Linked DNA regions of Caenorhabditis elegans. The protein of the gene in region 2 interacts with the protein of the main gene of each other region in a pairwise test. Each region holds a gene or a part of one and is shown on either strand. Other genes may lie near its edges. The genes, in order: zipt-7.2 and sek-1.

The links.
Region 1: the proteins of sek-1 (region 2) and zipt-7.2 interact in a two-hybrid assay, tested with the Caenorhabditis elegans proteins (one large-scale study listed by BioGRID).

Annotation. Positions count from the first base shown.
Region 1 is NC_003284.9:15,505,508-15,509,873, forward strand, and holds zipt-7.2 (Zinc transporter zipt-7.2), read right to left. Parts: upstream 2,374-4,366; 5' UTR 2,358-2,373; coding exon 2,165-2,357; intron 2,060-2,164; coding exon 1,945-2,059; intron 1,895-1,944; coding exon 1,817-1,894; intron 1,771-1,816; coding exon 1,400-1,770; intron 1,328-1,399; coding exon 696-1,327; 3' UTR 530-695; downstream 1-529. UniProt on the Caenorhabditis elegans protein: Zinc transporter.
Region 2 is NC_003284.9:7,814,798-7,821,790, forward strand, and holds sek-1 (Dual specificity mitogen-activated protein kinase kinase sek-1), read left to right. Parts: upstream 1-1,936; 5' UTR 1,937-2,006; coding exon 2,007-2,019; intron 2,020-2,078; coding exon 2,079-2,169; intron 2,170-2,276; coding exon 2,277-2,409; intron 2,410-3,528; coding exon 3,529-3,912; intron 3,913-4,063; coding exon 4,064-4,314; intron 4,315-4,376; coding exon 4,377-4,488; intron 4,489-5,239; coding exon 5,240-5,266; 3' UTR 5,267-6,239; downstream 6,240-6,993. UniProt on the Caenorhabditis elegans protein: Dual specificity protein kinase which acts as an essential component of the p38 signal transduction pathway which is also composed of upstream effector nsy-1 and downstream effector pmk-1. May phosphorylate pmk-1.

The DNA.
Region 1 (4,366 bases), 7.7 Mb from region 2:
CAGATAAAAATAAAATTTCAGAGGAATATCTTTGTGGCTTTAAGGAAATTCTAGAATTCTAGTTATAAAAAAGACATTTATGGGGTTATTTATGTTATTACGAAAATTGCAAAAATGTATTTTTACATTTTTTTTTCCCCTAGCCATGTGTGTAGTAAAATGTAAAAAAAACGCATGCAGTTTCTGCATTTTTCGGCATTTTTCGACATTGCGGGGGCACATCTCACTGCGTTTCTCGCCTTCAGCATGTGAAGTGGGCTGTCGGCTGATGTAGAAAAATGTACAAAAATGCCGAAAAATGTTGAAAAATGCAAAACATGCATGCGTATTTTTACATTCTTCTACACACATGAATAGGGGAAAAGTGAACAAAATATATTTATGCATTTTCCGTCATCACATGAGCAACCCCATTACCAATTATCTTGCATAATTTCATGTGGGCACAATTTATGTAACATCATTGCAACCATACTTTTTGTAACCTCTATAGCCAGATTTTATTTTGAGCATGACACTACACACATTTCTGTGCATCCAACACCTTTATTGAAACAACCAGCCAAAAAAATCGAGAGAACATCAAGAAGGAGAGGGTGATTTAATAAATACTTAAATATATAAAATACATTTTACAAAAGGTAACATTTAACAAGTATCGCGTTTGTGATGATGAGACTAGCTTCGACAAAAATTTACTCATAAATAGCAATGAGATACATAAGGAAGATTCCGGTAAGAATAGCGAAGATTTCCTTAACTGTCTGGAAGAATGAGCTGTTCTCGAGAAGCTCAGGAATCACGGAAACCGTAGCAATGTAGATGAATCCTCCGGCTGTGAATGGAAGAACCCAGGAGCTAGCCGCAGCGTCGGCGAGAGCATCGGCGTCAGCAGAGAACAAGGAGATGACACATCCGGAAAGTGCTCCGAGAGCAGTTACAAGTTGGATGAGCATGGCCTTCTTCTTAGAGTATCCAGATTGAATCAGAATGGCGAAATCTCCAATCTCGTGAGGAACCTCATGGACAAGAACTGTGATCATAGTAACGATTCCGACGGTGGTTCCCGCAATGAAGGACGCTCCGATGGCAAGTCCGTCAGTGAAGTTGTGGGTGAAATCAGCAGCGAGGTTGAGGTAGGCGGTAACCTTGATTGATTGCTCGTCTTTTTCTGGTTTCTCCTCCTTCTTGGCAACTTTGTCCTTCGAATCCTTTTCCTTGGTTTCCTTCTTCTCCCCTCCATGGGAATGTCCATGTGAGTGACCATGGCCGTCTTCTCCTCTCAAAATGCGCACGAGTTTCTCAACGGTCAAGAAGGCGATGATTCCTGAAATTAATTACTTAAACCATTTTTTAATGTGTATATATATATATATATTTTTTTTTTGTCAAAACAAACCTCCAAGAACCCATCCCCCGACGCTCATGTCATGAGCTCCATGAGAATGCCCACCACCACCATGAGAATGTCCATGAGAATGCGAGTGCCCGTGACCGTCTCCAGCCGGAGTGGCGTGTGGAATCAAATGAAGGAACGCATCTCCGAGAAGACCTCCGGAACCAAAAGCGAGGAGAACCTTCAGAAGTGGTCCCGACTCCGAGGTGTTAGCCTGGATTGGGATGAACATAAGGATGAAGCATGGAGCAGCAGAGATGAGAAGTGTAGCCGAGATGGCATAAACCCAAAGCCTTGTCTTGGCATCATTAAGGAAAGAAAGGAATCCAGTGTACTGGTACTCATCGCCAACTTGCTTAGCACTTTCAGCTCCACTGAAAATGACAGATTAATCTCGGAAGTAGAAGTGAGAGTGCTTACTGGCTGTGTCCGTGATCCTCATGGGAGTGTCCGTGATGATCGTGAGCATGTCCGTGATGATGATCTTCCTCCTCGTCACTAAAAATTGATAAGTTGCAGTAATTAACTTTTTATTGAGAAATTCTTACTGGGAGTGTCCATGATGATCATGTGCATGTCCGTGATCATGAGCGTGTCCATGGTCATGATCGTGAGCATGTCCGTGGTCGTGAGCAGCAGCGGTAGCAGCTTCAGCGGCGGCGGCTGAAAAATGAGACTTATGGCTCCGAAGTAACAATCTGTTAACCGTTCAGAACGTTTATCATCCTCAACATTTTCGAAGTGTTTTCAAAATCCAAAATCACAAACCTTTAGCATACGGGCACCCTCCGTCGGCATCATGAGCATGTCCATGTCCTCCGTGAGCGTGTCCGTGCCCCTGATGATGCACATTCTGTTGAACATACTCCGGATCGTTCATCTCCTTGGTGTATTTCAAATGTGCCTGGCCATAAGCGGCAATAGCCAGGAATGACAGGAAAATGCACGATTTCACCAACATTTTCGCCGAAATTACCCTGAAAATTTCAAAAATAAGATGGAGAAAATTAATCGATAAATAGACAGGTAGACAGGAGAGGAGAGGTAGGCAATAAAGTGACGTGGGGTATAATGAATATTTATTCTGTTTTATGGTTATATTTTCAAGTAATAAAGACATTTTTTGCAAAGATGGCTGAAAAATCGAAGAAATCTGTCCGAGTACATGGATCAATCGGATAAAAATGACAAAAATGGCATATCCCACAAAATTGCGGCCAACGCGGCACAGGAGAGAGGGAGGTTTGTCTTTGTGCAATAGAGCGCGCTTGCTACCGTCCCCTCCACTGACAGAGCAAATTCAAATAGCGATACACAGTGAGATAGGAAAATGGGGTGCGGTGTTCTCGCATTGACAGATGGTCCCGGTGTATTTGCCGATAGGTTTATTATGAGCATGATGGTGCTCTTCAAACATTCACGCACGCAAGGCTCGTAAAAAACTTTCTCCAGGAGAATGTTGTTTCTTTATAAGATGTTTTTCTATCTGTAAAAGGAGTACTGTAGTTTAGTTTTTTTTCAAGTTTCAACCTTTAAGCCAAACTTTCAGGTAAACAGTCCATGAAAAAAAAACTAGAAAAAAAGGTGAAAGGGATGAGAAAAACACAAAATTGCCCTTGCCTACCCATCCATTCCGCTCACGTTTTTTTTTCAACGGAATCGAGGCTATCCACACATAGGAACTAGTTTCTTTCACTTCATCCGCTTGTTACATCTTGAATACCGCGACTGACTGTCCACCCTACTTCAACATTTTACTGAACTTTTTTTTTTGTTAGTTGTCTGCTGCTCATTTAGCAGTCACTACTGTGATTCATTCAGAATTGAAAGTCACTGCTTAGTCATCGTTTGTGCGGGAATTAGAGGAAAATGTAGTTTTTTTGGCTCTCTAAACAAATTTTGTTTGATAATTTTGTACATTTTATTCAAACCAAAAATAAAACTTCAACTTCTACATAGTTGTTTCTTTTGTGGTAATGTTTTGAAATACAATAAATGGTTCAATTTTTGCTTATCCCTAAAAATCAAAAAATGGTATCGTTAATTGGCTCTCAAAAACCTGAAAGACTCATTAACATGCTTTTCAATGAAAAATTTGATATAGATTCCTCATGGTGGCGCCTTGGATTTTCATAAAATAGTTTTTATATCAAAGAAATCGTAGGGTCAAAGTTTGATAAGTTCTAAATTCTGATTATGTTTTAGAAGTTTATAGGGTAATTTAAGTAATGTTGCAAAATGTATTTAAATACATTTATGACGTCACAACTGTATTAAAACACATATTTTTTCAAATTTATTTTAATACAGTTGTAACGGAATTTTTTCACACTTTTCAATTTTCCGTCAAGAAGAAAGTTCAACAAAATTATAATAAAAAAGGTTTTTTTTTGGCAGGAAAATAATTTAAGGAATGCATGTATTATATTTTTATTATTGTATTTTTTCAAGAAATAAAAACTTGTATAAAGGTTTACATGTTCCAAATTACGTAGTTATTCTTTATAGTTAGCTACATATATTTGTTGCCGTTAATTTTTAACTGCATAGTTTCACACCAAACTATAGTAACTTTCTCTTTTTTTTTAAATTCTTTTCCAGGCCCTCTGTCAGACAGGGATTAGTAGCAAAACAGTTCAACTCAAGCTAGCCTCAAATCCCCCGGTGTCTAATTGCCACTTGTGTCCGGGATTGAGAACACTGTCCCAAATCCCACATAATCTTTCTCCGGACTTCTGCCGGAAACCGTTGAGACTTTTGAAAAAAAAACTGATGCGTTTGAAGGTTTTGAAATTCAAATCGTGATACTACCCGTTTCGGAAACCCCACCATATACCTATATTTGAACACATGTCAAAAGTGAAAGATATTGCGTGAGGTGAGATCGTAGTGAGCTCTCTCGTAAAATTTGTCCCCTTTACCTTTGACAGCTGTCCTTGGGATTTGTCTTATCGATGTGTCCTATCTTGG
Region 2 (6,993 bases):
TACAAGTACTGCAGACACAATATACAATACCTTTCCACAAATGGAAGATTGTGTCTGTGTGTATGAGATGAAATAGATAGAGAGAGAAAGAGAGAAAGAGAGAGTGGCGAGTGTAGAAAGTAACATTTAACAGAAAACGGCATTGAAAGATAGAGAGAGAGAGATGCAGAGAGGCAAAGTGATAGAGAGATGGAGGAATAGTGGTGTCCTGCGTAACTTTTGTCGTCGTTTCTTATCACTTGTTTACGTGCACAGTGCCCCCCCCCCCCCCCCCCCCCCGATGATCAACATTTTTTTGTGAACAGACAACAACATTTTGAAAGGTGATTTCAACGAATTATCTTGTTGAGAGCAAACGGGTCTGAAGCATATTCGTGGCTTAGCAATCTTATCAATTAATTGGTTTTCTTCCAAAAAATTGAGTAAATTGTATAGTTCTATAAGGTTTTTGTAACTGAACACTATAACTTAAAAGAATAACTAAAAATGTACATGCGTCCCGAAATACTTACAAAAATATTTGCGAACCCACACCGTCTAAATGATTCAACAAAAAAAGTTTCGCAATATTATACTATCAGGCAATTTTTGTAAAATCTGACCATTACACATACGGGATTTCCTGAAATGTGTGGTCTTGCGAATTTCGCAACTTTTCATGACAAAAATGTGTTTGGTCACAAAAACGGTTTCTCGACACTTTTTCCGAAAAAAACGTTTGCACTTTTTCACTATTTTTAAATCTATGTTCTGCTTAATTTCATTTCCACTTTTCTCTTAAAACATTTGACAAAAACTATAAGTTCTGACTCCCAATACTTTTTTCGTCGTATTTCCCTTCCGTTAACTCACTCACTGCTCTAGTTCTCAATAACAATAAATCAAGCGCTCAGTTTTTTTCGAGTTTTTATGGGCCCTTTTTGGGGGAAATGAAGGATAAAACGATAAAAACTGCAAAAGTATACTAAAAATAGTAAATTGAAGTTTAAAAAATTTAATATTCCGAAAATTGAAAAAAAAAACCCCATGTTATATGAGTTACTTGCCGCCCACCCACGGAAATTATTTATTTCTGCGTTAGTCATGCAACTAGTAAGAAGATCCCGCGGAACCATGAGTTTTTCTTTGTGATATTTCCAAATTCAGTATCTCCAATTAAATGATTCACACTTCGTTTTCTCCCTGCTTTATAAATGACTCAGCTATTCATGGCAGCTCCATCTTGCTCCTCCTCCCCAGCTTCCATGTTGCACTTGTTCACATCACATCCCATAAAAATTCATGCACCCGCTCCAAGGTTACTATTGGTTCCCAGTGACAACACCAACAAAAACGGATTTCGGTTCTCGTTTTGGTCTGGCACCTTGATTTCAATTTGAATTTTTACGACAACACATCCCGGGCAACGGTTTTTCGCTTTGTTTTCACATTAATTTTTTCTCACTGGGATGAAAATGGGGGCCCCTCTTTTTTCCCTTTTTCTATTTTTCTGCTTCCTACTCACCAAATTGCTTCTGCTCTCTTCTCATTCTTCTATCTTTTCCTCACTTTTTTCCTATTCCTATTTTTCTTATTTCTTCTATTTTTCAACGATCTATTCCGCGTTTTTCTACAGAATTTCGTACTCTCATTCATCAAATCTGAGAACCCTCCGCCAGGAGAAAAAAAGAAGGAAAAAACGTGATTCCCAAATCTTTAATTAAAGGACCAGATTGATGGATAAGTAACGAAAGACCAACACTATCTATTTTACATTTAGATTCGAAAAAAGATTGAATGACACCTCTAAATTTTGTTCACAAAACCGCGAAACCACCATTTGTATTCTTTATTGTCATTTTTCCTCATTTTTCGCTTTGTGAAAAATTTACCCACCGTATTTTTTGCTGAAATCCGTGTCTCTTGCTCTTTCCTTATCCTCATTTAATTTTTGCAGACGATCGCTGGTCGGCGAATTCTACAATTTATGTAGATCGGTGCGGAACGTCTCTCTAGAGTCTTACATCATGGAGCGAAAAGGTAAGAAAAATCTCATTTACCTCAAATTTGCCAAAGCATCTAATTTCGACTTGTTGTAGGACGTGAGCGCAAGCTGCCGGGCATGAAGATCGTGATGCCAACACCGGTCGAGACGCCCACAATGAATCTGGAAGACAGATGTCTTATCAAGTAAGTATTAGGTGATACCCGTGTCGGGTTTGATATTGAACACGTAAAGACGGCGCGGCGAATTATGTAATAATAATATAAGTATGAGAAATTTTTGATTGATGCAGATTGACAAACGAGTCCGAAGAGATTGAGATTGCCGCCACCGACCTCGTCGTACTCGAAGAACTTGGAAAAGGTGGATATGGGATTGTGGAGAAAATGCAGCACAGGCAGAGCGGGATAATTATGGCGGTAAAAGTGAGTATCACAACAAGAACAGTTTGAAAAAATTAACTATGTACATATGTTTGGTAATTCACCAAAAGCGGTTTTTTCAAAAAAATGTTTCATTTTTTCGTAACTTTTCAAAAAGTAACTAAATTCAAATTCCTATTTGGCTGGTGCACTAATAAATAGGCAATTTGTATAAATTTAAGATATTCATAAAATACTTTTCTTTAATTAGGGAAAAACTATTCTAATTTGAATGCAACGTGTCATTTTTCACATACAATAGTTATTCAAAAGCAAATGCAAGTTAGCAAGATGAAGATTATTGAATTTAGGTGTGACTGCAAAAATAATAGTTAGTCTTCATTGCCAACGGAAAGCATTTCCATTTTTTGAAGGGCGCCGTGTGAGACGACACACTGATTGCCTTTTGGCTGTCGGCACACGCGCCCACACGTCACCTTTGAAAAGTTGGTGTATAAATTAAAATTTTCGTGAACAAAGGTAAATTATGGAAGTGAAGAAATGAGAATTTGAGGATAGGATTTCAAACGCAGGTCACTCGTTTCTGATATGATGAAAAAAATCTTTTTTTTTTTGAAAAGGAACATGAGAAATAGATTCAAAGTAGCTTGATATCAAACATTTATGGAATGTATTGAGATTTATCAATACTTACTGATTTCAAAAATTCATTTTCATCCATACACTAGAATAAGTGACTAGGTGATTGTACATCAATATGTATGTTAATAGGACATACCAACAATAAGAACAGTCTGTGACGCGGAAATTTTCCATAAAAAAGGTCACTTCATAGATTTCATATGTTGAACTTTCACTAGAACATATTGCAAATACTTCATATGTAGTTGTGGCAAAGTTCAAGATTAAAGTAAATACAACATGTAAATGGAAAACTGATCTGACCAAAAAATGTTTTCAAATCACGAATATTTAAATTCTCAATATAAAAATTAATCGAAACTACAGATTTAAATACTAAAAAAAAATTATAAATTAAATATTACTGGTTTGAACCGAGACTTAAGCAAATCGCGTATTGAAAAAAATAAAAAATGAATTTTCAAACTAAATCGAATTTATCTTTTAAATTGATCCTAAGCAAATTTCATTTTCTTACAGCGAATCAAATCATCAATCAACGATCAATCTCAAAAGCAGATGCTCAACGAGCTAGACGCGTGCAGGAGAAGTGATTGCTGTCCGCAAATGGTACGGTTCTATGGAGCAATGTTTCGCGAAGGTGATGTCTGGATTTGCATGGAAGTGATGGACACGTCGCTGGACAAATTTTACCGGCACGCATACAAAATTGGCAAACACATTCCAGAGCCGTTTATTGGGAAAATGGCTCTGTCGGTCATTGAAGGACTCAACTTTATGAAAGAGCAACTGAATTTGATTCATCGAGACGTGAAACCGTCGAACATTCTGTTAAATCGACATGGACAAGTCAAGATTTGCGATTTTGGAATTTCAGGTCACTTGACAAACAGCATGGCCAAGGTACGGAAAATCGATAAAAATGAGACCTCTATTAAAAAAATGAAATGCAATTTTATTTGCCGAATGATGTCATGCCAATCAGAGTTATCTTTCAATTTCATCATGACCGGGAAGAAAAATTTCAAAATATATATAGTGTTTCGATTTACAGACTGTACAAGCCGGATGCAAACCTTACATGCCACCAGAGAGAATTGATGGAGAGACTAAGTCAGCCTATGATGTGAGAGCTGATGTATGGAGTTTGGGTATAACAATAATTGAAATCGCCGTTGGCACCCATCCCTACGCAAATTGGAAAACCCCATTTGAACAATTGAAACAGGTTGTGAAAGAGCCGCCACCAAAATTGCCGATGGAAAGTGGTTTTAGTGTTGATTGTCAGTACTTTGTCAAGAGATGGTGAGTTTTTTGGAGTTTCTGGGTGTGGAGTTGGGAAGAGTATGAAAATTTGCAAATTGCAGTCTTGAAAAGGATTACAATGAACGTCCCAAATATCCGGAATTATTGGCGATGCCGTTTATGGAGCAGGCAAGAAATGAGAAGCAATTTAGTATGGCTCGGTTTATCAATGAGGTAAGATTTGCTGCTATCAAAAAGACAATTTTTTTGCTGAAAAATTGAGAAAAACAATCTGTAAATAAATGGGTAAAATTAAATTAAATGTTTATTAATTTCTCCATTTAAATGAAACGTGAAATTGATTTTTAATTTTTAGGCTTAAAAATTGTTGTCTAAGTATAATTGTCCTCCTAAGCCTTAAAATACAAAAGAGTTTTATTTTCTATGTCTAAAAATTCAAGTTTAGCGTTAAAATTTTTGGACGATAGCTTTTAGTGAAAATCGGTATTTTGTTACAAAACACTTTATTGTAGAAACTAAACACTTTAAAATAAATTGAAAATTGGTGAATGATGTCAATTTTGTGAAGTGTGCTTAAATTGCTTTAAGAAATAACAAAAATGCAAAATAAGTGCAATAAAAAAACAATCAAAAAGTCAGGTTATTTCTGAGAAATTTCGAAGAGTAAAAAATGTTGTCAAAAAATCAGTTCGGTACATCAGCAAAGAAAAGTATAGATCAACTTCAAAACATCACCAAAACTTAGCATGTACAGTTTGTTTCCAGCAGGACCAACTTACAGTAAAAGCACCACTGAATGTTATTTTTTATAATTTTTTGTATTTTAATCTGAAAATCGTTTTATATCTGACAATCTTGAATCTTACTAAGGTCCGATGGGCACCTTCTGACGGTTCCCTAGTTAGGTAAAAACTATGCTAGATTTGCGAAAAATTGCAAAAACTTCTGAATTCATTCATTGCAGATTCTCGACACTGTTTGGCGACGATGAGCATCGGGTGTGCCGAATGGCGAACAAGTCTTTTTCTAGTACGACACGTCTCAAATTGAGAATAGCGTTTTTTTGTACGCCTCGCTGGCCGTCAATGGAACATCGATATTTGTTGAATAATCAGCAACGTGGACGGAATAAATTATCACTTCTTTTCCCTTTTTGTCAAATATTGAATTTTATGTTCTTATGTTTTGTTTATATCATATATCTCTCAGATTCCAATTATTTCTTTGCTTCTGGTAACCGTTTCTTTCCGAGTCAACCGCTTATCCTTATTTCATTTTCAATTTTATAGGAAATCTTTCTCTATCGCTTCTTTTTTCGTGTCTTCTCCTCGTAGTTATAATCAATCATCGGTGTTTTTCTACATTTTTTTTACGTTTAAATGTTCAAGTAGTTTATTAGCATCTGTGATTTTTATTTTCAAATGGTAGCTCATAATTTTCCAATCAAACTCGAAATGACCTAGTTGTTTTCTTAAATGATTTTAGTAGTCATTCCTATCTCATCTCATCAGACTTCTCATTTCAATTGTTTAACTTCTTCCTCTGCATATACAGTGCCATTTTCGATGTCAAATTCGTATTCAACATGGATTATTCTACTCTAGAAATCAAAAATGTATTCTATTGCACCCCTCCTCCCGCATTTGTTTCATCTGTGGGTTAATAATGATATTTATAAATTGATGTGCTGTTACAAAAACGAAAACAATCAACATCACTTATCCTTCTTTCTATTTTTCTTCTTCTCTGGTCTTATGCGCTTATTCTCCTTATAACAGTTCTTGCCCAGAAAATCAGCGTACACGTTTCATTTTCTTTTCTGTTCGTTTTCTCCCCTAACTCAGACATTACAAATTTCTAAACGTTTTGTTTTCAATTACACCAACCATCCCCCACTTTTCTCCCTCACCCCATATCAAGGATATGAGTCTCTTTTGGTTTATATTGCTCGAGTAAAGATTTTTTTTTAATTCAGATAACGGTTAAATATCGTGAATTGATGTTGCAATGTCTTCCTGTTTCAGAGCTATGTAAAAACTGACGCCAGTGATAAAATAATGTGGCAACCAGAGGAAGGAAAAATATAAGAATGTGAAAAAGCAAGTTTAGTTCAAATTTTTCAATAGTAAATCACACTACGACTTGATTGGGATAGTTGGTTTTGGTTGCTTTTCAAGATATTTATAAAAACGTTTTTTAAATTTTCCAATATATAAATAGAGAACGAGTGAATATCATTTTCCTTGTTTGAATTGCCATAATTGATAAATTGAAAATATCTGGAAAATAATATAAACAAAAAAGACCAAGAAATATAAATGTTTTGTTTCATTAAGGCACATCATGTACGGACTTCTATTTTACTATTATTTCTATCGTTTTCACCGGAGTTTGCTAAAGTTGCAAAATTCTTAAAAACAACTGATGCTTGTTTCAGAATTGCAACCGACACAACCGACAGCAAAGTTGCCAAAGCTTTCCCAATCATCAAGCATACATTTTTGTTGAACATAAACCTTGGAGTGTTTTCGTGAAACTTTGTTAGAAAAATTTTTTCATTAGAAGTGAAATGCTACTAACTTTCTGGATTGTTGACGCCGGGTTTGCCAGAGCTATCAAATATAAAATTACGAGTGTGGTCACAGATGTCGAGCCACAAGATTCCCGGTGGTTGAGTATGAGCAGCCACAATACGTTTTTATATATATGATGTAACTT